7 linked regions of the Macaca fascicularis genome follow. The protein of the gene in region 2 binds, or shares a complex with, the protein of the main gene of each other region. Links are inferred from orthologs where the notes say so. Each region holds a gene or a part of one and is shown on either strand. Other genes may lie near its edges.

What was found.
Region 1: DDX39B (region 2) and THOC6 share a complex: the UniProt entries of both Homo sapiens proteins name them as parts of the transcription/export (TREX) complex. The link is inferred for Macaca fascicularis from reciprocal best matches to the Homo sapiens genes DDX39B and THOC6.
Region 3: DDX39B (region 2) and CHTOP share a complex: the UniProt entries of both Homo sapiens proteins name them as parts of the transcription/export (TREX) complex. The link is inferred for Macaca fascicularis from reciprocal best matches to the Homo sapiens genes DDX39B and CHTOP.
Region 4: DDX39B (region 2) and THOC7 share a complex: the UniProt entries of both Homo sapiens proteins name them as parts of the transcription/export (TREX) complex. The link is inferred for Macaca fascicularis from reciprocal best matches to the Homo sapiens genes DDX39B and THOC7.
Region 5: DDX39B (region 2) and SARNP share a complex: the UniProt entries of both Homo sapiens proteins name them as parts of the transcription/export (TREX) complex. The link is inferred for Macaca fascicularis from reciprocal best matches to the Homo sapiens genes DDX39B and SARNP.
Region 6: DDX39B (region 2) and TTF2 share a complex: the UniProt entries of both Homo sapiens proteins name them as parts of the spliceosome. The link is inferred for Macaca fascicularis from reciprocal best matches to the Homo sapiens genes DDX39B and TTF2.
Region 7: DDX39B (region 2) and THOC1 share a complex: the UniProt entries of both Homo sapiens proteins name them as parts of the transcription/export (TREX) complex. The link is inferred for Macaca fascicularis from reciprocal best matches to the Homo sapiens genes DDX39B and THOC1.

Annotation. Positions count from the first base shown.
Region 1 is NC_088394.1:3,820,405-3,824,646, reverse strand, and holds the start of THOC6 (THO complex subunit 6), read right to left. Parts: upstream 2,817-4,242; 5' UTR 2,533-2,816; coding exon 2,494-2,532; intron 929-2,493; exon of another isoform or gene 659-928; intron 511-658; coding exon 395-510; intron 294-394; coding exon 229-293; intron 155-228; coding exon 51-154; intron 1-50. Other genes in the region: HCFC1R1 (host cell factor C1 regulator 1), read left to right, coding at 2,918-3,012, 3,329-3,385, 3,498-3,626, 3,861-3,996. UniProt on the Homo sapiens protein: Component of the THO subcomplex of the TREX complex which is thought to couple mRNA transcription, processing and nuclear export, and which specifically associates with spliced mRNA and not with unspliced pre-mRNA.
Region 2 is NC_088378.1:140,193,146-140,196,715, reverse strand, and holds part of DDX39B (spliceosome RNA helicase DDX39B), read right to left. Parts: intron 3,400-3,570; coding exon 3,307-3,399; intron 1,269-3,306; coding exon 1,085-1,268; intron 1,035-1,084; exon of another isoform or gene 959-1,034; intron 75-958; coding exon 1-74. UniProt on the Homo sapiens protein: Involved in nuclear export of spliced and unspliced mRNA. Component of the TREX complex which is thought to couple mRNA transcription, processing and nuclear export, and specifically associates with spliced mRNA and not with unspliced pre-mRNA.
Region 3 is NC_088375.1:107,531,578-107,535,823, forward strand, and holds the start of CHTOP (chromatin target of PRMT1 protein), read right to left. Parts: upstream 2,806-4,246; 5' UTR 2,542-2,805; intron 319-2,541; 5' UTR 302-318; coding exon 237-301; intron 1-236. UniProt on the Homo sapiens protein: Plays an important role in the ligand-dependent activation of estrogen receptor target genes. May play a role in the silencing of fetal globin genes.
Region 4 is NC_088376.1:126,941,367-126,945,540, forward strand, and holds the start of THOC7 (THO complex subunit 7), read right to left. Parts: upstream 2,808-4,174; 5' UTR 2,626-2,807; coding exon 2,583-2,625; intron 1-2,582. UniProt on the Homo sapiens protein: Component of the THO subcomplex of the TREX complex which is thought to couple mRNA transcription, processing and nuclear export, and which specifically associates with spliced mRNA and not with unspliced pre-mRNA.
Region 5 is NC_088385.1:62,604,808-62,609,169, forward strand, and holds the start of SARNP (SAP domain-containing ribonucleoprotein), read right to left. Parts: upstream 2,843-4,362; 5' UTR 2,822-2,842; coding exon 2,786-2,821; intron 1,054-2,785; exon of another isoform or gene 1,001-1,053; intron 1-1,000. Other genes in the region: ORMDL2 (ORM1-like protein 2), read left to right, coding at 4,119-4,292. UniProt on the Homo sapiens protein: Binds both single-stranded and double-stranded DNA with higher affinity for the single-stranded form. Specifically binds to scaffold/matrix attachment region DNA. Also binds single-stranded RNA. Enhances RNA unwinding activity of DDX39A.
Region 6 is NC_088375.1:117,327,042-117,330,611, reverse strand, and holds part of TTF2 (transcription termination factor 2), read left to right. Parts: intron 1-3; coding exon 4-70; intron 71-1,518; coding exon 1,519-2,511; intron 2,512-2,832; coding exon 2,833-2,947; intron 2,948-3,294; coding exon 3,295-3,477; intron 3,478-3,570. UniProt on the Homo sapiens protein: DsDNA-dependent ATPase which acts as a transcription termination factor by coupling ATP hydrolysis with removal of RNA polymerase II from the DNA template. May contribute to mitotic transcription repression. May also be involved in pre-mRNA splicing.
Region 7 is NC_088392.1:68,899,274-68,902,843, reverse strand, and holds part of THOC1 (THO complex subunit 1), read left to right. Parts: intron 1-1,947; coding exon 1,948-2,095; intron 2,096-3,075; coding exon 3,076-3,151; intron 3,152-3,570. UniProt on the Homo sapiens protein: Component of the THO subcomplex of the TREX complex which is thought to couple mRNA transcription, processing and nuclear export, and which specifically associates with spliced mRNA and not with unspliced pre-mRNA.

The sequences.
Region 1 (4,242 bases), on a different chromosome or scaffold from region 2:
CTCTCTCTGGGTCCCGGCACCCCAGCCCTTTCCCGAGCTCAACTCCTTACCTTCTTGAGCATCTCCGCCCAAAGCCAGGCCTTCACCTCCCCATCCCCAGCACTAAGCAGATGTCGATCGGTGGAGACCATGCTATAGACAGGCCCATCATGGGCTAAAGAGAAATGCAGAACTGAGTTGACCAATTCCACCCAAAGTCCCGAAGCCAGACTCCACAGCTATACCCACCTTGGAAAGTCACCACCGGCTTCTTACTTTCCTCTTTGGCTTCGGAGCTCAAAGCAGCGGACAAGCTGCAGGGGACAGCGGAGGGGACCCAGGAGTCAGAAACAGGGACATCCGTCCCATGAGGGCCAAGTGCCAGGGCTAATGGGTGGACAGCGGCAGAGGGTACCTGAAGATGGCAATCTGCCCATAATTGTTGCCAGCCGCCAGAAACTTCCCACACGGTGAGACACTCTGGGAGAAGATGGTCATATGGAGCCGCTGCAAGGCCTGGAACACCTCTGTCTGCAGGGAAGAACTGGATGAGGCCTGCCTGGGATGTATGAAACCTCCCAGCCACAGACTCCTTCCTGCTTCCCCCAACACCTGCCAGGCTTCCCACTGTCCTGACTTCTCAGCCCTCTTTTGAGGCGGCCCGGCCCCAAGCCAGCACTTGCCCATGCAGTCCCATGGGCGGCTCCAAGAAGACACTGAAGAAGGGGCGAGTCGAGGTGATGCCTCAGGGACCTCTGAGCAAGCACCCAGCACTCTCCTACCAGCTTCCTCAACTGTCAAGTGGAGCTCACAGAAGATTCCATCACCATTAGATGAGCTAGTGTATAGACAAGAGCTTTCCATGGGGCTGTCACTCAGTGCTGAAGCCGGGTGTGGTGGCTCATGCCTGTCATCCACTGCTTGGGGAGGCCAGGAGTTCGAGAGCAGCCTGGTCAAAATAGTGAGACTCCGTCTCAACAAAAAATTTAAAAATGTGGGGCCGGGCGCAGTGGCTCACGCCTGTAATCCCAGCACTTTGGGAGGCCGAGGTGGGCGGATCACCTGAGGTCTGGAGTTCCAGACCAGCCTGACCAACATGGAGAAACCCATCTCTACTAAAAATACAAAATGAGGCCGGGCGCGGTGGCTCAAGCCTGTAATCCCAGCACTTTGGGAGGCCGAGGCGGGTGGATCACGAGGTCAGGAGATCGAGACTATCCTGGCTAACATGGTGAAACCCCGTCTCTACTAAAAATACAAAAAACTAGCCGGGCGTGGTGGCGGGCGCCTGTAGTCTCAGCTACTTGGGAGGCTGAGGCGGGAGAATGGCGTGAACCCGGGAGGCGGAGCTTGCAGTGAGCCGAGATCACGCCACTGCACTCCAGCCTGGGAGACACAGCGAGACTCCGTCTCAAAAAAAAAAAAAAATAAATAAAAAATAAAAAAAATAAAAAAAATAAAAAAAAATAAAAATACAAAATGAGCTGGGAGTGGTGGCGCATGCCTGTAATCTCAGCTACTTGGGAGACTGAGGCAGGAGAACTGCTTGAATCTGGGAGGCGGAGGCTGTGGTGAACCAAGATGGAGCCATTGCACTCCAGCCTGGGCAACAAGAGTGAAACTTCATCTCAAAAAAAAAAATGGCCGGGCGCGGTGGCTCAAGCCTGTAATCCCAGCACTTTGGGAGGCCGAGACGGGCGGATCACGAGGTCAGGAGATCGAGACCATCCTGGCTAACACGGTGAAACCCCGTCTCTACTAAAAATACAAGAAAATTAGCCGGGCGAGGTGGTGGGCGCCTGTAGTCCCAGCTACTCGGGAGGCTGAGGCAGGAGAATGGCGTGAACCCGGGGGAGTGGAGCTTGCAGTGAGCCGAGATCGCGCCACTGCACTCCAGCCTGGGGCACAGAGCAAGACTCTGTCTCAAAAAAAAAAAAAAAAAATGTGGCCAGGCATGGTGACTCACACCTGTAATCCCAGCACTTTGGGAGGCTGAGGCGGGAGGATCACCTGAGGTCAGGAGTTCGAGACCAGCCTGGTCAACACGGTGAAACCCTGTATCTACTAAAAACACAAAATTAGCTGGGCATGGTGGCACACGCCTGTAGTCCCAGCTACTCAGGAAACTGAGGCAGGAGAATCGCTTGAACCCAGGAGGCGGAAGTTGCAGTGAGCTGAGATCGTGCCACTACACTCTAGCCTAGTTGACAGAGTGAGACTCCGTCTCAAAAAAAAAAAAAGTGCTTTGCAGGAACTAGAAAATTAAAAAAAAAAATAGGGGTGGCTCTACTACCCCAACATAGAAAAACGTACTGATTTATAATCCCTACTCTCTGACTTGCGTTAAGCCCCTGAGGCACTTCTGGGTTACTCTCCCGCCCCCCGGTCAGCGTCTGAGTTCCACAAATAGCCCAGGCAAAATAGGACTCAAAGGGCACAATTCCCTGCCCGCCCCGTCCCAGCCATGAATGGACTACAAATCCCAGAAGGCAACGCGCCCCACGTCCGTCTCACCTGACCCAGCGGTACCGCGAGCGGCACAGCTCGCTCCATCTCCAGAACTACAAGTCCCAGAGTGCTTCGCGTGCGACGCAACTTCACGAGGCCTTACGTGCCTACAGCGGTTCCTCTCCGTGGCGCCCTACTGCCTTCGGCGCGAAGGGGGCTGCTGCGTACCGTCCTGAACCCCAGGAGCCGAGGTGAGCGCCGCGAAGACCCCCGACATTAAGAAGTGGTGTCCACCGCAGCCCCGCTAAGCCGGATACCCTCCCCCACCCCGAGGAGCAAGCCTGCCTTCCGCCACGCGCCGCCCTTCTTCGGCGCCCGCGCAGAACCTCGCCGCTGTGCCCGCCTAAAGCCACGCCCATCCTCGCTGGGCCACGCCCTCAGAGACTCCTCCCCTGTCGCCCAGATCCCACCCGCAGGACCCCAAAACCCAATGATCCTTCAGCAGCCCTTGGAGCGAGGCCCCCAGGGTGGGGCCCAGCGCCTCCCGCGGGCCGCCTTGGGGGTGACTCGGGGCCTGGACGCCAGGTGCGTGTGGGGGACCAGGGTGGGCCTGACCAAGGGCCGCAGGAGCTTTGGCTGGGTGCTCAGGGCTGGTCTGCAGGATGAACACGGGGTGGGGCGAATCGGTGGGGCTTAGGCGTGAGCTGAGATGGTATTGGGGCTGCAGTTCAGGGTCCAGACTTCCGAAGTACGCTGCTGGATGGCCCAGGAGAGGGGGGACCAGCACCAGCTGAGACAGTAATGGGCTTGGGGCTCCTGGCTGATGCTGCAGGCTCAGGCAGGCATATCCTTGGGAAGGGGCCAAGAGGGTGGGGTGCACCAGGCTCTCTTTTTTCCCCAGCTCCCCTCTCCGAGGAGCTGTGCCCATGAGCACCAAGCGGCGCCTGGAGGAGGAGCAGTGAGTTTGGGGGCAGGGAGGGACTCCCAACGAGAGCTCTGTCACCTCTGGTCCCCAACAGGCTGCCTCCTGTCTCAATATCCCAGCCTGCCTCTCTCCCATCTCTCCCCAGGGAGCCTCTGCGCAAGCATTTTCTGTCTGAGGAGAACATGGCCACCCACTTCTCTCAACTCAGCCTGCACAATGACCACCCCTACTGCAGCCCCCCCATGGCCTTCCCCCAAGCCCTGCCCCCACTCAGGTAGGCTCCTCCACTGGCCAGGCCTTCTGCAGAATCACAGGCGGTCCTCGCAGCTGACCTCAGGCCCTGCCTCATCGTGCCATTTTTAGCTCTAGCTGACCTCTGGGTTGTTTCTCATCTTCGCTCTTCGGAAAGTGCTGGGAACCCAGGAGTCCCTGGGGACCTGGACCTGGTGGGAGGTGCTCAGCTAGGCCAGCCTTAGCCCCATGCCCTGACAGTCATTTCTTCTTCTAGAAGCCCTTGCTCTGAGCTGCTTCTCTGGCGCTACCCTGGCAGCCTCATCCCCGAGGCCCTCCGTCTGCTGAGGCTGGGGGACACCCCCAGTCCCCCCTACCCTGCAACCCCAGCTGGAGACATAACGGAGCTCTGAGTGCTGGTGGACTGCCCCTCCCACCTTCCTTCTTCCCCACAACAGAAGAGACCAGCGACTCCTGCAAAGGGACAAGGTTCCTCCCTCTCCTGCAGACCAGGCATCTGGGCACCAAGACCTTCCCTCAACAGAGGACACTGAGCCCAACGGAGCTCTGGGATGGGAGGGGTGGGAGCATGGGAAGGGAGGCATCCCACCCCCAAGAAGAACTGAATAAAGATTGCTGAGCAAAGGAAGGCTTCAGTC
Region 2 (3,570 bases):
GGTAGCACTGAACATCATGACCTGCTTCTCGTGGGGGGTCATGCGAAAAATTTCCTGGACATCCCGACGCATGTCTACAAGAACAAGGAAAAAAATTGTAGGAGAAAATAAGCAAGTATGATAAACAAAGATTAGAGGTAGACTTTCCAGTGAGGTGAAGATTGCTGGAAATAGTAATAACACAACGGAAAAAGCAATGGACTTGGAATCAAGAATTGGGATCAGATTCCAGCTGTTCGTTTTAACCAAGCAAGAAATAAGATAAAACCCCAAAGTTCCCAACTATAAAACGGGGACAAAGCCCAGTGCAGACGCTCTCAAGGCCTTCGAAACATGCTTTACAGGCCCTTCTCCCAATCCTTTCCTGTCCAAGCCCCAGCCAGCCCTCAGGAGACTACAAGTATCAACCATATATTACATTCCAGGTAGCAGAGTCCATCTATGACTCTCTGGATCACTTTTCTATCAACTCAGGCAAATATGACATTGCTACCTGGAGCCCACCTTTATAACTCACCACACTGAATTGCCGAAGACCATTTGTAATGACTTATGGGGCCTATGTCCAACCCCACACTCATTCACCAAGATTCAAATCTTACAGAAAAAACTTCCATTAACCCCACTTGGCACACTAGAATACCACACCACACGAACTGCTACCCTCTCTACATTAATCCCAGACCTGAGTCTAGAAACTTATTCAGCTATAAATTCTGACTGTAAATGCTGTGCTGGAGATGCCAGAAGGGTACTGTCTTCTCTTTCAGTTTAGAATCTCCCCTATGACTTCCAGTATAGGAATCTATAATGAAAACGGTGGTGGTGGTGATAACTTAGGCCTGAAATTACCGAAGTCCCCTATTCTCAAAGATTAAAAACAAAAATCATAGAAAGATGATAGATGACATCCTTTACTGTGCTTAAAAGCATAATAAAGCCCAACCAGGGAACCCAGAGCCATCAGTCATGGGTGATAGATAAGAGTCGTCCTTGCACTGAGGCGCTCCTGTTTCAAATAAACATCATTTGGCTCCAAAGAACAACTCCCCAGCATTAGCCAAGTCCCAGCACTGCCACTCACCGAGCTGTTCAAGCATCTTATCACATTCATCCAAAATAAAGTGTTTAATGTGTTTGAGGTTGAGGCTCTTATTTCGAGCCAGGGCTAGGATACGGCCTGGAGTCCCCACGACGATATGCGGGCAGTTCTTCTTCAGCACCTCTTCATCCTTCTTGATAGACAGACCACCAAAAAAAACAGCAACCTGCCGAGAGCCAGGAGCAAAGAGTCTCAAAAAAGAGGAAGGAAAGAGTCCAATCCCCCCAGAGTTCCCACTGTTTGAGCTAAACCAATTTTTAGCATGTTTCAAAACTAAAACTAACTCTAGAGGTCACCTAATTTAGAAATGTTATGTCCCCCCACCAAACACTGAGGGTGACTGCCTAAAGTTACATAGCTAGTCGGAGCAGTCAGGACAATAATTCAGTTCTTCTGACTTAATCTAACCATCTTCCTTCATTTATGAGGCCAAGCCTCATTTTAAAAATAAAGGAGTCAGGTGTGGTGGCGCACGCCTATAACTCCAGCTACTCGGGAGGCAGAGGTTGCGGTGAACCAAGATCTCACCATTGTACTCCAGCCTGGGCAACAAGAGTGATATTCCGTCTCTAAATAAATAAATAAATAAATAAAATAAAGCCAGGCCCGGTGGTTCACGCCTGTAATCCCAGCAGTTTGGGAAGTCGAGGCAGGTGGATCACTTGAAGCCAGGCGTTCAAGACCAGCCTGGCCAACATGGTGAAACCCCATCTCTTCTAAAATACAATATTTACAAATTTACTACTAAAATACAAAAACTACAAAACTTAGCCAGGAGGCTGAGGAAGGAGAATCGCTTGAATGCAGGAAGTGGAGATTGCAGTGAGGCGAGATTGAGCCATTGTACTCCAGGCTAGATGACAGAGCGAGACTCCATCTCAAAAAATAAAAAATAAATAAATAAAGGACGGCAAGAAATTACCAGGATTAGTATAAAGTACCACAAAAAAACACATGGAACATTAAGTTTTCCTAAATAAACCCAGAATCTCAAACTCCTTCATACAAACCCCATGAAATTACTGCTTTGGGTGAAATATTATCACTTCATGTTAAAACCATTAGGTGAATAGTTGGTTAGGGATCTGGGCCTTGGTACAGTGTCAAATAACACCAGAAACTCTAGTTTTAAGGGGGAAAAGAATGACCATGGAATCAGACTGTCACGATGCTAATCCTATGGTAAACCTAAAATCACTAATGAGGCCAGGCACAGTGGCTCACACCTGTAATCCCAGCACTTTGGGAGGCCGAGGTGGGTGGATCACTTGAGGTCAGGAGTTCGAGACCAGCCTGGCCAACATGGCGAAACCCTGTCACTACCAAAAAAAAAAAAAAAAAATTAGCCGGGTATGATGGCACACTGTAGTCCCAGCCACTCAGCAGGTTGAAGCAGGAGAATCGCTTGAACCTGGGAGGTGCAGGCTGCAGTGAGCTGAGATCGCACCACTACACTCACAGCCCAGGGGACGCAGCAAGACTCCATCTCAAAACAAATAAATAAAAATAAAAATAACTAACATAAGTCAACCCGATTTCTGGCACAACAGGAGATACAGCATCACCTATGAAGGATAATTGCCAAAAATGCTTAACTTCAATCAGATTTTTTTTTTTGAGATGGGAGTCTCACTCTGTCACCCAGGCTGGAGTGTAGTGGCACAATCTCAGCTCACTATAACCTCTGCTTCCTGGGTTCAAGCGATTCTCCTGCCTCAGCCTCCCAAGTAGGTAGGACTACAGGTGTGTGCCACCACGCCCGGCTAATTTTTGCATTTTTAGTAGAGACAGGGTTTCATCGCATTGGCCACACTGGTCTCGAACTCCTGACCTCAAATGATCCACATGCCTTGGCCTCCCAAAGTGCTGAGATTACAGGTGTAAGCCGCTGCGCACTTGGCCAGAATCCTCAATATTCACACACCCCTGAAGCTGTTTTAAAGTTTCTGGCTTTCTCTGCCACACACCCCAAAATTACCAAACTGATAGGATTCAAAGTCAGTATAAAGTAGTAAAAAAAGGGTGGTCTCGGTTAAGCATCATCCATAGCCCAATTACGAATCCTCCCGTTACATAGGATCTTAACACTGTTAAACCATGGCAAACTAAAACTTCTCCAAAATTAAAGAGACTACTGGCCTACAAGTTTCTTATCCCTCCAACTTGCCACACCCTCACTCTGAGGTCTCTTTACCTCGGCTTACCTTGACATTGGGCATGTATTTAGAGAAGCGCTCATATTCCTTGCTGATCTGAAAAGCCAACTCCCGAGTGTGACACATCACCAGCACAGACACCTTAGGCAGGAAGTAGACCGAGACATACCATGAGTGTAGCCCTTCATCGTTCCCTCTAGGGAAGTGACTGACAAAAACACACCTGGGCCGATAATAAATGACTTCAATTCTGTGATCTAAATCACGAACCCCATGCTTGGATAGAACATTCCCCACAGCTGTCAGGTTGTC
Region 3 (4,246 bases), on a different chromosome or scaffold from region 2:
AAAATACATCCCACCAAATAAATATTTCAGACAGCTTAACATAAAAGTCTACTGATAAGGGGTTTTGAAACAACCGCCCAATTTGTTTTGTGTACCACATGAGATGCAACTAAGAACAGAGGTCTGTAGCCTTCTGTTGGTATTTAGCTTAAAACTGGCTTTGTGCACTGGACCCCAGGGCCAAGTTAAGTAATGTTTTCTTAGGAAGGAGCTGAAGTTGCTGTTGGCTGCCTCACCGCTCATTTAGAGACATCTTGGTGGTGCTTTTTAGCACAACTTTCGGCGCTGACTGTGCAGCCATCTTCAAATCCCGAGAATCTACAAAGGACAATACGTAAAATGAGCAAATCACAATAGTGACCACATCATTTCTATAAGTGGCAAGGCCCAAGTCAACAATAAATAAAAAGGCCTTATCACTGATGACTTAAGAGCACATGAGGGCACATTTCAAGTGCTTAAATTTCTTTTTCTTTTTTTTTTTTTTTTGAGAGAGGGTCTTACTCTGTCACTCAGGCTGGAATGCAGTGGCATGATCTTGGCTGCAGTGGCTCACGGCAGCTGTAATCTCCTGGCCTCAAAGGATGTTCCCACCTTGGCCTCCCAGTGCTGGGATCACAGACATGAGGTGTCATGCCCAGCAAAAGTGCAAAAGTGCTTAAATTTCTATGGCAGTTACCTCACATTACTGTAACTTCAAGGTGGCTGGGCGTGGTGGTTCACCACCTGTAATCCTAACACTTTGGGAGGGTGAGGGCACAGGATGGTTTGAAGCCAGGAGTTAGAGATCAGCTTGGGTAACAAAGTGAGACCGAGTCTCTACTAAGAAAATAAATAAATAAATAGTGCATGGTGGCCAGCACCTGTGGTCCTAGCTACTCAGGGGGAGCTGATGTGGGAGAAGTGCTACAGCCCAGGGGTTGGAGGCTGCAAAGAGCTGTGATGACGCCACTGCACTCCAGCCTGAGAGAGACCCCAACTCTTTAAAACAACCAACCAACCCCAAACAAACTCCAAGGCCCAGAAAATACCCAGGAAATTCTCAAAAACGGCAGAACCCAATTTAGCAATCAAAGTATGGAGTCTGGCCTTTTTTTTTTTTTTTTTTTGAGACGGAATCTCACTCTCTCGCCCAAGCTGGAGTGCAGTGGTGCGATCTCGGTTCACTGCAACCTCTGCCTCCTGGTGCAACCGATTCTCCTGCTTCAGCCTCCTGAGTAGCTGGGACTACAGGCATGTGCCACCACGCCCGGCGAATTGTTTTTGTATTTTTAGTAGAGACGGGGTTTCTCCACGTAGGCTAGGGTGGTCTTGAGCTCCTGACCTCACCCGATCCACCCACCTGGGCCTCCCAAAGTGCTGGGATTACAGGCGTGAGCCACCGCGCCCGGTCGAGTTTGGCTTTTTCTCTAGAGCAGTCATTTTCAATCTTGACTACATATGACTTATCCAAGGAGCTTTCAAAGGGCGCGGTGGCTCACGCCTGTAATCTCAGCACCTTGGGAGGCCAAGGTGGGCGGAATGCTCGAGCCCTAGAGCTCAAGACCAGCCTGGGCGACATGGCAAGACCCCGTTTCCATAAAAATATAAATTAATTAAAAAAATAAAAAATACAGATATCTGGGCCTAGATCAATTAAACCACAATCTCTAGTAACGAGGTTTGGAAATGAACAATTGTGGGGTGGAGGGAAAGCTACCTAGGTGCTTCTAGCGTGCAGTTAAAGTTGAAAACTACTGATCTAGAGTGAAAATATAGGCAGGGCCGGGCGCGGTGGCTCACGCCAGTTTTCCCAGCACTCTGGGAGGCCGAGACGGGCGGATCACCTGAGGTTGGGGGTTCGAGACCAGCCTGACCATCATGGAGAAACCCCGTCTTTACTAAATATACAAAATTAGCTGGGCGTAGTGGCGCATGGCTGTAATCCCAGCTACTCGGGAGTCTGAGGCAGGAGAATCGCTTGAACTCGGGAGGCGGAAGCTGTGGTGAGCTGAGATCGTGCCACTGCACTCCAGCCTGGGCAAAAAGAGCGACACTCCGTCTCAAAAAAAAAAAAAAAAAAAAAAAGCCTAGTTTAAAAATTGGCTTTCAACTCCAGAATCAAGTAGAGACTTTTGTAACAATAAACTAATGATCTCGGGGAGTGCGTAGGAAAGGTTTTCTAAATTCACCTGGGGAATGAGCTCGCAAAGAGCCCTCCACAAAACTTAACCCTAAAGCCGCCATTAATTTCCAACATTCCTCAAAGTCTTGTATTTCTTAATCTCCCTACCATCCTCAAAGCCCTATCAAGACTTCCACTTTTGCTCAACCCAAGTTTCCTTTTAATCCCTATCAAACCCCAACCTCCATCAGTCCCGCCACCAGGTTCCAGTTCAGCCCCTCCCCCGCCCCTTCGCAGGGGCTCCGCCTCCTCCCCCGGGCCTCCACGCTCCAACACCGTAGCTGTGTCCACATGCCACCACCCCCTTTCCGCGTCCGCCAGCCCCTTCCGCTCTCCAAGACCCCGCCACCCCGCTCCTTCTCCCTACAGAAACTCACCGAAGGAAACAGACGCCAGTGCTCCTCCCGGGGCTGCCACCACGGCTCCGGCAGGCGGGCCGGGGACCGGCCGAACCTGAGTTGACGGTGGAGGGGCTCGGGTTAGCTAGATGGGCGGTTGGTCAGATGCGTAAGCGGTAGTATGCGAGCTCAGTTCGTTGTTGCTGGTTGGCTGTCTAGCCGGCCGATCCGTCTGCTCACCCGGCCTGCCCTTTCTTGCCTTTCGTCTGCAGCGGCCGCCAGCTCCGGCTCGGTGTCCAAAACAAAATGGCCGCCACATGCAGTGCTTGTGGGACCGGCTAAAATGGCGTCTACGCCATTACGTCAGGCGTCAGATCCGCTCACGACTAGAGGGCGTGAAAGATTTGAGCTCCGCCTGCGCAGGGATCAGAGGCGGAGCCTTAGGGTGAACTTCAGCAAACTTTACCTTAGCGGTATAAGCAGTGCCCCGCCCCCTGGGGGCGTGACAATGGCCCTATCGGGGCGTGCCGGGACTTCAAGTTCCCGTAGTGGTTAAGCTGCAACCTCCTGGGTTACTAGTTAGTAATCAGGGTCTTAGAGGGGATTTGGGTTCCGAATTCCCTTGCCCCTCTGTTCCTTAGGCAAGGTACATCGTCTAAAAATCTTTACGCGGACTTGCCTCGTCTTCTTCCGGACAACTGGGCCTGGGGAATTTGCACTGGTTTTCCCCTCATGGCCAGTCGCCCAGTCTGAGAGTTGTAAAGTGCCGTAAATGCTCCCGCCAAGGCCCAGTATTGGGAGCACATTCCTCTCCCATCCTGCGCTGGCCAACACCACCGCCCGTCCATGTTTTCCTCTTCACTTCCTCCCCTTCCCAACTTGGCCTAAATACTGTTTAATCCTTCTTGCGGGGGGTGCACCTTTGCGTCCTCGATTGCGCTTCCATGTCCTCCCTCCACACCTGCCATCCGTGTTTATTTTGTGGCAGACCTACATAGGGATTTCTCTTTTCTCGCTTTTTGATTTGTTGTTGTTGTTGTTTTGAGACGGGGTCTGGCTCTGTTGTCCAAGCTGGAGTCAGTGGCGCAATCACGGATCACTGCAGCCTTGACCTCCTGGGCTCAGGTGATCCTCTCACCTCAGCCTCCCGAGTCCTAGGATTATAGGCATGAACTATGTGTCCTGCTCAATTAAGGGATTTTTCTTTCTTTCTTTCTTTCTTTTTTTTCTTTTTGCAGATGGAGTCTCGCTCTATCACCCAGGCTGGAGTGTAGTGGTACCATCTCGGCTCACTGCAACCTCCGCCTCCCAGGTTCAAGCGATTCTCCTGCTTCAGCCTCCTGAGTGGCTGGAATTACAGGCGCGTGCCACCACGCCCTGCTAATTTTTGTATTTTTAGTAGAGATGAGATTTCACCAGGCTGGTCGCTAACTCCTGACCTCGAGTGATCTGCCCACCTCTGTGTCTCAAAGTGCTGGGACTACAGTCGTGAGCCACCATGCCCGGCCTCAATAAGGGATTTTGCTTTTTTTTTTTTTTCTTTCTTTTTTTTTTTGAGACGGAGTCTCGCGCTGTCGCCCAGGCTGGAGTGCAGTGGCCGGATCTCAGCTCACTGCAAGCTCCGCCTCCCGGGTTTACGCCATTCTCCTGCCTCAGCCTCCGGAGTAGCTGGGACTACAGGCACCCACCACCTCGCCTGGCTATTTTTTTGTATTTTTTAGTAGAGACGGGGTTTCACTGTGTT
Region 4 (4,174 bases), on a different chromosome or scaffold from region 2:
GATCACACATACCACTCATTTCAGCTTGATTTTTTCAAAAGCTGAGCTGATAAAAACCATGTTTATAGAGGATTGTCTGAAGAAGTTGTAGTTTGTCTTTCCCTTATGGTCTAGATATTCAATCAAAAAACCTTGCTTTGAATCAAGCCAGATTAGCAGAGCTACCCACTACCCACCTAAACCAAATTGTCCATTGGTTTTATTTAGACAGGGTTTAGTGCTGTTGACAGGCTGGAGTGCAGTGGTGCAATCACGGCTGGTTGCAATCTCAAACTCCTGGGCTCAAGTGACCCTCCCGCCTCAGCCTCCTGAGTAGCTGAGACTACCTACAGGTGTGTGCCACTCCACCTGGATAATTTTTAAAAATTTTTAGTAGAGACGAGTAGCTGAGACACAGGTGCACACCACCACACACGCCTGGCTAATTTGAAAAATTTTGTAGTAGAGATGAGGTCTCGCTGTGTTGCTTAGGCTGGTTGCAAACTCCTGGGCTCAAGTGATCCTCCTGCCTTAGCCTCCCAAAGTGCTAAGATTGATTACAGGTGTGAGCTACCACACCCAGCCTCTATTGGCTTTAGAATCTTTCTAATTGTGATTTAACCTTCTTTTACCTAGCAAGGGATGTGCTACAAAACAGCTCTGTGATCTTCAGTGCTGAAAAGAGGTTAAGGATATGACACTGGCTTTCATTTATAAGGACCTCAATGACAAACTTTTCCTCTAGTTCAAATCAGAAAAAAAAAAGTGCTTTTCCTGGGCATCTAAGATTGCCTTCTTTCATGAACACTAGACCACAGAGTAGATGAAGTACTGCCTCTCGGCATGGCCTATTAGAGAAACAGGTCACTTACAGCTTGGTTAATTAATGTACTAGACTTTATCCTTCTGCATTTTGAGGATCACCCCACTTCTGACTTCCCTTTATTTTTCCTAATTTCAGTGTTCTTTTTGTCTTGTTTTCTAATCCATTTAATTTGTACATTTTCTCATTACGGTGAACTGCCTTAAATCTTTTCTAGCATAAGGCATATAAATAAAGTATTAAGGGTGACAGCAGCAATATGCATAAAATAACATGGCTAATAGGCAGAGGGTCAACTACTTCCAGGAAAGAGGGGATTTTTGAGTTGGGTCTTGAGGAAAAAGTGGAGTGTCACCTGATAGAAAAGGCAGGAAAAGGCAACCTGTGCAGATTAAGAGAGAAGGCACAGTCCACATCAAAGGAAAGTGGAAGACAGATTAGTAAAACTACTCTGACATTTAATAATATTTACTGAACATTAATTATTATGTGTTGGACTCAATGCAAAGCCCTTTACAACTTTTTGTGTTTAATCCTCAAAACAATCCGCTGACACAGATTTTATTATTATCTCCATTCAGAGACCGAAGCTGAGACAGTCTGTAAGTGGCAGGGTAGAGATTCCTGTGGACTCTAAGGATGTGGTGGGGCACTCTACTGCAGTCAGTACTTCAGAACTCATCTTCTGTCCCTATCTCCCATCTGACAAAGCCTATCGCTCCTTTGGACATCTCTATCTCAATAAATAGAAAAGTAGTGCTAACAGGCACACAGTGAAGTCAAAAACCTGGGATCATCCTAAACCCCTTCTCCCCGCATTCATTCAATACCCGAAGTTCTGACATTCTGCCTCACAAATTTCCCTCCCACCTGTCCTCTTCTCTGCATTCCCTCTTGGTCACAGTCCTCATTGTCTCTCACCAGGGCCACTGCAGAAATAGGAGACACAGGAGGCATAATAGTGAAGAGCGGGAACTCCGCAGGTGGTCTCCCTGCCTTTGACCCTCTATGACTTACTATCTGTGCAACCTTGGGCAAGCTAACCTGTGTCTGTTTCATCTGTAAAATGGGGACAACAATTAGAATATTACCTGACAGCACCATGTAAACGTTAGTAAGTGGTAAGGAAACTTAGCTCCTCACTTTCTCTTCCTCTAATCATTCTGCACATAACAGAGACAGTGTGTATGCGGTTTTGTTTTTTTTTTTTTTTGAGACAGGGTCTCACTCTGTCACCCAGACTGGAGTGCACTGATGCGATCGTGGTTCACTTCAGCCTCGACCTCCCAGGCTCAAGTGATTCTCTCTTGTCAGCCTCCCAAGTTCTGGGACCACAGGTGTGTGCCACTGTGCCAGACCAATTTTTTTGTATTTGTAGACATGGGGTCTCATTATGTTGCCCAGGCTGGTCTTGAACTTCTGAGCTCAAGAGGTCCACCTGCCTTGGCCTCCCAAAGCGCTGGGATTACAGGCGTGAGCCACTGTGCCCGGCCATGTGTGTGTGTTAATGCCAATCTGATTAGCACAACACCAATGTTAAAACTTTTAATGGCTTCCCATTGCCCTTAGAACTCTCTGGCTCATAACTTTCTAAATTCTAGCAATAACTGTCAACTTTGAGTTCTTCCAACATCTTGGGGCCTTTGTACAAGTGGCTACCAACCCAGAACACCAGTCCAACATCTATTTATTCTTCAAAAATGGGATTATCTTTTTTGGGGAAGCTTTCTCATTTCCATTGATTGGATAATCTTTGTTACATGTTCCTACAGTTACCAACCTTGTACTTCCTTGTGGTAATATTTGTCACTCTTAAAACTCATTAGTCAATGTTTCTTTCCCTTCCGACCGAAATTTTGGAGAGGGAAAAGTTCTTGCTTGTTGGTTCTGGGTTGTAATCCCAAAGCCTAGTCCAGGAAGGATAAATGTCCACTAAATAAATGAAACTGGAATGAAGCAAAGCTGAAATTCTACATGAAGTTCCTGGGTCTTTAGTAGTCTTCCACCTCCACTACTCTTTACCAGTCTGCAAATTTGGGCCTATCACTGTTCTTCCCATGGCCAGGCCCTTTAATGTGGAGACCCTGGTGGTCTTCAACTCTTCAGAAGTGGCCTCTCCACAGGCATTTAGTTACTGGTCACCCTCTCCTGAAAAACACCCAAAAGCCCTAGATCTCCCCTTCCCAGATATCAAAGGACCTTCTTCCTCCCTAATCAGATAACTTGTAGGTTCTCCCTCCAGTTGCCGATCATGCCCCTTCCCCTTTCCCCAAAGTGTCACCTTATTTCTGCTCTCACTCCATAGACCATCTCCCTTAGACAGTCCACAAACCCAGTCTTTGCCCCTCTAAATCCATTCCAGCTGACAAATCACCCTCCCCAACAAACACATATACATCTTCTATCCTCCTGACCTACCCTAGATGGTTTCTCATCACTATACTGGCTCCTCCTTACCCCCCGTAAATCTCCCAGGTACACTTCCTCATTACCCTCCGGATACCTCATCCCTCTGTATTCCTTTTATAAATAATTCCCTGCTCCCTCTCCTCACCCACAATCCACTCGCAGTTCAAGGCCTCATTGCCATCGACTCCATTGTCTGTGAGTCCTTCCCAATATGCCCCAGGACCCCTCCAGGTGTCACGCTCCGTATTCTGACATCCCTTGTAGACGAGTCCCGAAACTCCCGTTCCATCCCTGGAGCTCCCACTCCCTCCTAGTCCTCCAGAAACCTTCCAGGCCCCCAGCCCCAAGCCCGGCACCACCGCCCACCATTCGCGGCTCCTGGGCCCTCACCGCGCCCCTAGACAAACCCGGACTCCCTCCGGTCCCACCCGCCCTTGCACCGCTTCTAGCCGTCTCGGCCACCCACGTGTGTTCCCAGCCCACCGACCACGCTCCCGGCACACCCTACAGCCCCGCGCTGCCTTCGGGAGAGCGGGCGGGGGAGGCCGAGGGGCTCCGAGGGGCGCTCGGCCTCTGGCGAGAGGAAGGACTCAGGGAAGCAGCCGGGGAGGCCCGGGGCTTCGGGGAGGGGTCTGGAAGGCCGAAGCGCTCGGGCGAAGCGGCCGGGGCAGGCCGAGGGGTTCCCGGAAGCGGGCTGGGAGGCCAGGGGTCTCCGGGGAGGCCGAACAGGCTGTGCAGCCGGCGCGGGTGGCGGTGAGCGGGGCCTCACCGTCAGTCACGGCTCCCATGGCGTGCGCGGCGGCGGCGGCGGCGCAAGCTGAGGCGGCGGTTGGCGGCGGCGGAGGTCAAACTCCCACAATGCAGCCGGGTAAACAGCCATGGAGGAGGAGGCGGCGGCGCCCGCGGCCGCCTGCTCCGACGCCTGAGCCGCGCCGCGCCGCCGCCGCGGGACCCCCGCTCCCC
Region 5 (4,362 bases), on a different chromosome or scaffold from region 2:
CAATTTAAAAAAAAAAAAAAAAAAAAAAATGCATTTCTACAAAATCCTCAGAAATTTGCTGTTGATATGACATTACATATCAACTCAGATACATACTATGTTTCCTTCCTGCTTCAAAGGTATTCCCTTCCCCTGAAGTTCCATACCAAAGCCCAAAATCTCTTTATGACAATGGAGATATTTTTTTCTTTTTTTTTTTTTTTTGAGACAAGGTCTCCCTTTGTCACCCAGGCTGAAGTGCAGTGGAGCAATTATCACACAGCTCACCGCAGCCTTGGCCTTCCAGGCTCAAGCAATCCTCCCACCTCAGCCTCTTGAGGAGCTGGGACTACAGGTGTGCGCCACCATGCCCAGCTAATTTTTTAATTTTTTGTAGAGACAGGGTGTCACTATGTTGCCTAAGCTGGTCTCAAACTCCTGGCCTCCGCCTCCCAAAGAGTTGGGATTAGAGGTGTGGGTCACTGGGCCCAGCCAAGATTTTTTTCAAAGGCAATAAAACCCCAAGTCAACCCAGAAGTCAGGATCATTGCATCAAGATCGCCAGTGGAACTAACTGCCCTAAAAATCAGAATCAAAGGCATGAGTTCTTTTTTTCTTTTTGAGATGGAGTCTCACTGTCTCCCAGGCTGGAGTGCAGTGCACCACCTCGGCTCAGTGCAACCTCCATCCCGGTCTCAAGCGAGTCTTGTGCCTCAGCCTCCTCAGTAGCTGGGACTATAGGCACTTGCCATCACACCTGGCTAATTTTCGCATTTTTGGTAGAGGCAGGGTTTCGCCATGTTGCCCAGGCTGGTCTCGAACTCCTGGCCTCAAGCAATCCGCCCACCTCGGCCTCCCAAAGTGCTAGGATTACAGGTGTGAGCCACCACGCCCAGCCAAAGGCATGAGTTCTTAACCAGAGGTCCATGGACTCCTCAGGGCTACAAGGTAGTTTTATGAAGCCCCTCAAACTGCATGCAAAATATGTGTACATGCCTTTTTCTGGGGAGAGGGTCCATACCTTTCATCAGAGTTTCAAAGATATCTGTGACCTCCAAAAGGTTAAGAAGTGCTCTAGAGAAAAAGCAAAGACAAGCAAATGTGATTAAAGAGCGAGTTCTTTTTAGGCTGTCAAGAGTGCCTAATGTTCTCTTAGACTGTAACACTAAAACCAGGTCAGAGGACTTTATGTAAAAGTTACTTATCCAATCAAATACAAATTTAATATAGACCTGACAAATACAGATTTGATGGAAGGAGGAACTCCATAAACCAACACAATCTATAAATGTAAGTAAGTCATCGGGCAGCTGGTGACTTACTCCAGGGATTTCAAAAATAGGACAAATAGGAAGAAAATATTAGCTCTTCTATTCACAGTTCCTTTTTATCTCATTCAAAAATTCCTTTTCTGTGTATGTTTTATAACAGTATGGAAGTATACAATTTCTATAAGTACAGTATATATACACAAAGTGGAGATGATTGCTCAATTTTTTTTTTTTTTTACTCATCACAATATCAGGAGACCACTGATATAATCTATGCATTTCGGTACCATCAAGTTAACAATAACTCCAGAATAACACAAAAATCCACTAATAGAGTTTAGAATCCAAGAGTAAGAAAACACTAGCTTTCGCAGAAAGACTAATTGGGGTCAACTAATAAGTGACTAAAGAAGGGTCCTCTCCCTACCCTTACTACCCTTAAGCTTTCTTAAACAACAACAACAAAAAACAAAACAAAACAAAACAAAAAACTCTTCAAACTTTAAAGGATCACTTTTCAGTTTCAGCTATATCAGCCTGGTTTGTCCAAAACATGTAATGAGAAAACTACTTGTGAAACCACAATCAAGATTATCTTAATTTACCCTAAAAGAAAATATTTTTTAAAGTTTTCTGCTTTTTAATATATTTTTAACGTTTTTATATATCTAGGTGTGAGAAAACTACCAAGATTCTCACAAGACAATTTAAAACAGCTTCTGTGATTCAGTGTCAGCCAATGGTAACACCAGGAGATGCAGGGCCCATCCGAGATATGAAATGGAAAAGAGATAATCTTAACCTTGGAACTGTTTTTCCCAAATATTGCAGGTATGAGTTCTCTCTGGTGGTAGGAGATGGTGCGTGAGGAAGGCCGGCGGGCCGAGAGCCGCGTGAGAGAACTCGAAAACTTTTAAATCAGAGGTGTCTGTACTTTTACTATTCTCAAGGTCTCCTCAATCCCAGGCTTCTAAGGCGAGACCGATCTTTTCTGAGAGGCCTCTCCCTGGTTTCAAAATTCGGCCTGGGGGCATAATCCCACCTAGAAAAGGGGAGTGGAAGTATTTTCTGAGTGTCTGGGACCTATTTAGAGAGAAATATAAAAAAATGCCACCATTTGCTAACAGGCGAATCTCAGCTTCGGACGACAGACTGGAAACATCATCCCAGGGAAGAAAAACGGATCCTGGGTCGGACATGGGGCAAAAAGGAGGGACGAACTGACGTAATGCAGCCCTGAAAAGCAACGAGGAGTATAACAGGTAAAAGGCACTTACACAACCCGATGGGGAAGGATGACGGACGATACAACGATGAAAGGAGCAGAAATAAATAAATATAGCAGTAAAACCGTGAGGAGAAATGGGAAATTAGGGAAGGCGTAGTGTGGAAGGGTGGCACAAAAGAGCTACAGTGGGAGCCGAAAAACGAAGTGGAAAAGGCTGCAAAGACAACACGTAGGAGAAGGCGCAAGCTACCCTGTAGAATTCAGTTCCTAGAAAAGTCCAACTCAGCCCTTCCCCGATTCACTGTACCTTCAGCTTATGGAGCTCCACCGTTTCGGTCGCCATCTTGTTACCCCTCACTCCACTAGGCCCCCACCCGCTGCCTCCGCCTCCAGGAGCTCCCGCCTTAGGCGTAGAGATGCAAGACCGACCAATCGTTGTCACTCTTGCTCCCACGCCATACCATCAACTCTTCCCATTGGTCAATAGCTGACGTCGTTCTCACTTCTCTAGGCAGCTTTCCCCACCTCTTTCAAAAGGTGGAACAGGGAAAGGGGCGGGCACTGTATCTTGCGAACGACAGAAATGGCAACCAACTGTGCATCTGCATTACAGATCACCAACCAATGGGTGGTGGCAGCGCTGATTGTGTTCCTCCAATAGGAAAGGGGCAGACGGGGAGGCGTTACTTCCTGGAGACTTCAGGTGTGGTAGCCGGCGCTGCGCCCATAGCCGGGACGGGGATCTGAGCTGGCAGGTAGGGCTGCAAAGACCGTAAGGGTTGCTGAGGAAAAATGGTGGGCGAGGAAAGGGGCGCCGAGGAAGCGGTGACCTAAATATTGAGAGGGGAGCGCTGAAGGGAGCCCTGAAAATACCGACGAACGTGAGGAGGAAGCTGGGAGGGGCATGGGGCGGGCTTAAGGAACTGGCGGTGGGGCTGGGGCGGGCAACAGCCGCTTCCTAACCAGACATCATCAGCTTAAGGGCTACCACAATTTTAAAGAACCGAGTTCAGATAATCACTGCCGCCCCTGGAGTCAGAGCCAAGGCTCCATCTCTCCAGGCGTTGAGCTCAGGTCCCTTCCGAACCCAGTCCAGAAGCCGTGGGCAAGTTGTTGTCGTGCCCCCCGCTTGAGAGAAGTAATGGGGATGCTGACTGCTTACATGCCACGGAGGTGTGAGAGAGGGTGGACAAGCCCCAGAGAACAAAGTGGGGACCAGAGTGAGCTTTACTCTGTCATCCCTTCTTAGTGGTTCTTTGATGATTCCATGACTTTCTCCTGGAATACTGGGTGTGCGTGACCTCTTTATGGTTATTAACTTCTTCAGGAAAGTCAGATACTCCTATTTCCCTCGCTCACTGAAGGGAGTGCCCCAAGTCTACGTACACCTTCATGTTACAGTTGAAGTGTAAAGATCAGAGCAAAAATGACTGTGTCTCTAAAATGTAGTGAGGACTCTTCTTGTCTTTTAAAGTTTTCCCCAAGTTTTCAGTTTTTATTTTCTGCGTGATGGGTAAGTTCTTCATTCCCAATAGAGTTCAGGGAATTGGGGCTATCTGAGAGACAACTGGGAGAAAGCTCAAAGAGGGGTTGAGAAAAAACTGAGTTGGACTCCTGCCTGATCCCCCATTATGGCTAGGATGAATGTGGGGGTGGCGCACAGCGAAGTAAACCCCAACACTCGAGTGATGAATAGCCGAGGCATCTGGCTGGCCTACATCATCTTGGTAGGACTGCTGCATGTGGTTCTACTCAGCATCCCCTTCTTCAGCATTCCTGTTGTCTGGACCCTGACCAACGTCATCCATAACCTGGTGAGCACTAAACCGCGGCCTTGTACCCACCCCAGCGTTTCCCGACCAAAAGCAAAATAAAATCACCAAT
Region 6 (3,570 bases), on a different chromosome or scaffold from region 2:
TAGATTGTTCTTCCGATGCATTAGAAGTAAGGCAGAGGGGAAACGCTGGTGTGGAAGTATTCCATGGCAGGTAGGAATTATTCATCTGTTTTCAAACCTGTTGTGTTAAGACTTTTAATATGCAGCATCACCTGAAAGTACCTTGAAGTTCACATAAACGAGTTGGTCTTCATCAGACTGTCCTGAAAGATAGTTTTCTTTAAGCAAGGTAGGCCCTGTTGGGACTTTAATTCAAAGGAACATTTGGTTGTAATCAAGATTAATTATTTGCATCCTATTCACTTAGTAAATATAAATATTTACTAATACAAATATTTATTTGAGGTCTTAAATGCAGTCAGCATTCTTTTACTTAAGAAAAAAAATAGATTTCCTTGACTAACTCTTGTATCTTTTTATAGAGGAATTTCTACTTGATATTGGTATAAGCTCCTAGAATGTTCGAACTAGGAGGAGCGTCTCCTCTGAATAGGAGAAGGCCTATAGATATTCAGTACATAAGGAACTAGAACCAGGGAGATGATAAGACTTGTTTTGGCAGAGGTATGGCTTGAACTTACGATTCTATATTACCACAGTAAAATCTTCCTAAAGCCAAAATCAAAGCAAGTGTTTTAAGACAATTAGGTTTGGGGAAAAGTTCATCTTTTTTTTTTTTTTTTTTTAAATTGAGACGGAGTCTCGCTCTGTCGCCTAGGCTGGAGTGCAGTGGCGCAATCTCGGCTCACTGCAAACTCCGCCTCCCGGGTTCATGCCATTCTCCTGCCTCAGCCTCCTCAGTAGCTGGGACTACAGGCGCCCACCACCACGCCCGGCTAACTTTTTGTATTTTTAGTAGAGACGGGGTTTCACTGTGGTCTCGATCTCCTGACCTTGTGATCCGCCCGCCTCGGCCTTCCAAAGTGCTGGGATTACAGGCGTGAGCCACCACGCCCGGCCGTAGTTCATCTGAAGAGAACAGTTTTTTTCTGAAAAGTATACACTGTGGCCATTGTGATTGTAAAAGCACTTTGGTTTGTCACTACTTTTCCTTGAGGTCTGGAAAAGTGTGATCATGGACAGAGAAGGAATGAAGCATTGAAAGTACCGTGAAGAAATGAGTCTTTTGTGGGTCTGGCATGTCATCTTTTCTAGACGTGGAAATGGTATCAAGAATGTTCAGGAAATATTGGACTGCTTTTACTGTGTTTCCATTTCTTCTGCAGAATAATCCTAAGTGAATTAACGCAGGAACAGAAAACCAAATATCATATATTCTCACTTACAAACAGGAGCTAAACATTGAGCACCCATAAACATAGGAACAATAGATACTGTGAACTACTGGAGAGGGGAGGAGGGCATGGGTTAAGAAACTCTTGGGCACTATGCTCACTGCCTGAGTGCGATATACTCATATAACAAAGCTGCATGTGTGCCCCCTGTATATAAAATAAAAGATGAGATGAAAAGGAAAGGCATTCTAGATAGGACATTTGCATTAATATTTTATATGAAGATTAATTATTTTGTCTTTAGGATCCTGATTCCAAAGAACATTCTGTCCCCAATAAGTCTCAGCATGCATCTGAGACATTTCATCATTCTTCCAGCCGGCTGAGAAATCCATTCAAGGTACTTGACAAGAATCAAGAACCAGCTCTCTGGAAACAGCTCATCAAAGGTGAAGGTGAGGAAAAGATGGCTGATAAGAAGCAAAGAGAAAAGGGAGATCAGCTTTTCAATCAAAAGAAGGAACAGAAGCCTGAATCGATGGAGAAAGATCTCTCATCTGGCCTGGTACCAAAGGAAAAACAACCTGTAGTTCAAGAGAAGCAGCAAGAGGAGAGAGCAGAGATTCAGTGTGAGGCAGAGGAGACTGGAGGCACTCACAAAAGAGACTTTTCTGAAGTTAAATCTCAACAGTGCCAAGGTAATGAGCTTACAAGACCATCTGCATCTTCTCAGGAGAAATCAAGTGGTAAGAATCAAGATGTCCAAAGAGAATCAGAACCTCTGAGAGAAAAGGATACCCAGCTTTTGCCTCAAAACGTTCACAGTCACAGCTCAATAAGCAAGCCCCAGAAAGGGGGACCCCTCAACAAGGGGTACAAGAACTGGGAGGCTAAAGAAACAAAGGCAAAGGATGGCCCTAGCACACAGGCCACGCAGAAAAGCCTGCCTCGGGGGCATTTCCAAGAGCGGCCGGAGACCCACGGTGTGCCTGCTCCTGGAGGACCAGTGGCTCAGGCTGCACCAGCAGCACCAGGGCTTTCCCTGGGTGAGGGCCATGAAGCTGCCACAAGCAGTGACGATGAGGAGGAAGATGATGTTGTTTTTGTTTCCTCTAAGCCTGGGAGCCCCCTACTCTTTGACTCGACTCTGGACTTACAGACGAAGGAGAACCTCCAATTCCCTGATCGAAGTGTGCAAAGAAAAGTATCTCCGGCCTCAGGTGTTTCCAAGAAGGTGGAGCCCTCAGACCCAGCAGCCCACCGTGTCTACCTTACAACACAACTGAAACAAAAGAAGGTAACTGTTGACTCGTGTTTTGTTTTTGAGGTCAGAGCATTGCTTGCTATGGGCAGATATGAGATCTCATTGCTGCAGAAGGGTTAAATATGTTCATATTGAAGGTTTTATAGGTGTGTGTTTAGTTTCTGCCTTTTCCCCTATTTATATTTTCAAGATTGGTAAGCCAGCTGGGTTAAAATTTTAAAAAGGTTCTGGTTTTTACACACATATTTAAAAGAGCATAATTTCAGAGTTTGGGCGTTTCAGGCTATTTTAATCTGAAACTATTCATCTAACAGTGTGAAAAGAGAGATCCATTTGATGGAATCTGTTTTGCAGAGCACACTGGCATCAGTGAACATCCAGGCTCTTCCAGACAAGGGTCAGAAGTTGATCAAACAAATCCAGGAGCTGGAGGAAGCGCTCAGTGGTCTTGCCCTTTCCCCAGAGCAAGGTAAAGTGGCTTATGCCTCAGAACTCCGGGTTTGCGTGGACTTTACAAGAGACATTTGGAAGCCCTTTTAATAAAGAATGTGTTGATTCATTCACTTTTCCATTGTATTATCTGCTTCTGAGCCTTCTTTCACATTACACCTATGGTTCATAAAAAACCTTTCTCCTATTTCCTGTGGACTCTACTTTCTTCCCCCATTGTTTAAGCAACTGTTAAAATGCTACATTCTCTAGGAATCCTTCACTGGAATGGTGATGATCCCTCTCTCTTGACCTCACCTCCACACATACGATCCCTTCACTTAGTTTGCTGAACTTTATTCTGCTCTTCCCTTGTTTTCTGAGCAGGAACTAATGAGAAGAGTAACAGTCAAGCGCCACAGCAGAGTCACTTCACCGAAACTACCACTGACCCTCCCCACCTGGTGCCTCCCCAACCCCTTCCTGGTTGTGGTACCCAACCCGTGGGTTCTCTAGAACTAAAGTCTGCCTGCCAGGTGACTGCTGGAGGATCCAGTCAGTGTTATCAAGGTAAGACCCAAGGGCCTGGCCCTGCTGTGAATAGCCACCCCTGTGAGTTACGTGCCACCTGGTACAGTAGTCACCTCTTATCCACACTTCCAG
Region 7 (3,570 bases), on a different chromosome or scaffold from region 2:
TCCCCTTAGATAATGTTTTCTTCTCTTGGCGTCCATGAGAATCCAAATCCATGGTTCTTCTGTTTGCCCTTTGCCCTCGCTGCCCACTCCACCTCACATTCCATTTCAGCCTCCTCATCCTCTGCCTAACTCAAATGTTGGAGTAACATCAGGACTCAGTCTTAGCCTCTTTATCTAGAACCTTCTGGGTGACACCACAGTCTCATGGCTTTCAATAGGAATCGAAGAGTAGTGGTTTAAAGGCAAGAGGCCTCTTGTCAGAATGCATAGGTTCCAGTCCCCTCTACCACTTACTTATTAGACTAAGGCTAATTTAATAATTGAATCGCCATCCTCCCTTTCCTCATCTGTTAAATACTAACAGTACCCATTTCACAGGGTTATTCTGAGGATTAAATAAGACAGTTCACTTTCAACCATACAGGGCATGTCGTTAGCACTCAATATTCGTTACTAGTGTGACCCTGTGCCCAGAGTTGTTAATTACTGTGACCTCTGTGACCTCTTCACTGTTTTCTCTAGCAGTGGTCAGTGCTCCATGTATCAGCCAGTGATCTTTAAAATAACTGTCCAAGTCTGATCTGCTTAAAATCTTCCAGTTAGTGCCTGTTCCAAAGTCCCTCCCAGGGTCTAAAAACCTCCTTGGTCTGGCTTATACTGTCCTGTGTAGCTATGCCTTCCCTCTGCTCTAACCACAGCAGGCCTGGTGCTCTTCACTTCAAACGTCTTTCCCTTTCCGGTCAGGACCTTCACACTTGACTGTCTCACTTGCTTGAACCACTTTTCCCCCAAGGTTCCCATGGCTTTAAGTCCCCCTGGAAGCTCTTCCCCTCCCTGGTCTCCTCTGTTGCATTCTCGTGGTTTTTATTTCATGGCACTTACCACTATCCAAATGAGAAGGTGGCACTCACCACCTTCTCATTTCTCGTTTTCCTCATCCTTATGAAATTATCTTATACCTTGTGTGTTTATCACTAGCGATGCCTGCCAACACATTCTGCATTACTGTGCCTCAGGTACTCTCCACAGCTACTGAGTGCCTGGCTCAAGTGTTTGTCAATTGAAAGAATATTTATCACTGTTACGTAAGACTAGATGGACTCATTCCTAAAGTGATAGTTCAAATTATTATCTCCAAAGAGGGTTTTGTGGAGAATAAGAAAAATGATATATATAATTGACAGTGAATTTTGAACATGCCTAAAATAATCAAATCGTTTAAACAGAGGTATGTCAGAGAGGAAGGCTCTTAACTGTTCGGGCAAAGCCTCACAGCAGGTGTTGACTTGGGAAGAGTCCTCAATGTCTAGGGGTAGTTTTTGTTAAGTCTTCAGTGGTACCTGCACATCCTAAAGGTAACACACGCTCATTTATAAGAGATGACCAAATAAACCAAATTGCTATTCTTAGGGGAGGGAGAGACTTCCAATCCAAAACTCTTAAATGGAATAAATTGGTGGTTTGGTTTCTTCTGCAGCATTGCGTATTTCTGGAGCATTATCTTTAGAATTTCTCTGCAGTTTCTGTTTCTCACCTGATTGTATACCACCTTGATCATTGTTATACTTCATTAGGGAACAGTTCATGGATTCCGAATAGCCAGATGGATGATTCCTGTTGTACACATACTGCATCTAGCCAGTACTGCACACACTTGTTGACTTGTTAAAATTAAACAAAATGTATGAACTTTGAAAACGTGTTTGCTCATATGAGCCTGCCTCTTCAGACATTGTTGGTTCCTGTTATTAGTTATGTGTGTATCTGTTGATTTGTTATTATCAGTGGACAACATCCCGAAAAGTTCTTGAGGAATAAGATTCCAATCAAAAGAATGGTACTTTGAGCTATTTACCTTAAATATAGAATTGCACGTGGCAGAACTAAGCAGAAGGGAATACAGAAATACAAAACTATGAATTACAAGCCTGACATCTCTTTTTATAGGGCTGTGAACAATTCAAATTATGGTTGGAGAGCCCTGAGACTATTAGCACGGAGAAGCCCTCACTTCTTCCAGCCAACCAACCAGCAGTTTAAAAGTTTACCAGAATATCTTGAAAACATGGTAATAAAGCTAGCCAAGGAATTACCGGTAAGTACCATAGATCAACTTTTCATGCCCTTTAGTTGACATCATCTTTAAAACTGCTATCACTATGTGAGCAAAAAACTGACTTAATCATGTGAAAAACCAGTGGTCCACAAGCTCCCATGTTTTAGAATGAGGGAAAAACACACTGGAATATACATTTACAGGAAATACATGAGTTGATAAAGAAGTAACTGATAATTTTCTGTACAGCATGTAATTTAACTAAGGTTCAACAGGGCTGGGCGCGGTGGCTCACGCCTGTAATCCCGGCACTTTGGGAGGCCTAGGCAGGCAGATCATGAGGTCAGGAGATTGAGACCATCCTGGCCAACATGGTGAAACCCCATCTCTACTAAAATATAAAAAATTAGCCAGGCGTGGTGGCAGGTGCCTGTAGTCCCAGCTGCTGAAGAGGCTGAGGCAAGGGAATTGCTTGAACCCAGGAGGCAGAGGTTGCAGTGAGCCAAGATTGTGCCACTGCCCTCCAGCCTGGCGACAGAGCAAGACTCCATCTCAAAAAAGTATATAAAATTCATGGTACTTTAGGTAAACTGTTATGCACCTATACACACAGACAGGAATTTTTTCCTGTTTGCCAATGCAGTATATTGTCTTTTATCAAAGGTAAAAGATAAGAATCAGAAACTTTTAAGGACACTGTTGCTACTGGCTTCCTTGAGGCCATCTTTACTAAACCCTGGGTATTTGCAAATCCTGGAACTGTGCTTTTCACGGCCTTCCTGCTTCCCAGATTGGGGGTGGGGAGTCTTTCCAACTCTGGGGTCTTACCAAGTTCACTCCTTCTGCATGTGAAGACAGTCCCACTTAGGATCCTTACCTGACACTGTCTAACGCTCTCAGGGGTGAGGTTCTGGCACCCTGTACTTGGAATCTCACAATCATCTTTATCTAAACAAAGTACTTGTTACCGTACTTCAGAGGCTGGCATTCTTTCAAACATTCTTCTTTCTCATTTTTAGCCTCCTTCTGAAGAAATAAAAACAGGTGAGGATGAAGATGAGGAAGATAATGATGCTTTACTGAAGGAAAATGAAAGTAAGAATTTAATTTTCTTGGTTATTTAACAAAATTGAAGAAGATTGGGGTTCTTTGTTGATAGGTACATTATTTAATCGGCTTCTCAACTTCTCCCATTTTATCTCAACTGTTTCTGACTTACAGTGAGGAATGTAAAACATTGCTTAATAATAACTTTAAAAATACTACATTTTATGCAATAAAATTGGGGAGTAATGATACTTTAAAAGGGAAGGAAAATACATTTGAAGGTGACCCATACCTTTGTTAATTATTGGTTACTGGAAGGGGAGCAGTTCATTTCAGGGAAAGCCTACATAATTTTAACAGAGGTAACAGCTTTAGCTTTGATTATTGACCATGCTTATTAAGAGTGGTATTCAGCTTATGGAGAATATAAAAAATAATTGTTTGCTTTTAAAATAAAGTCTACTAAA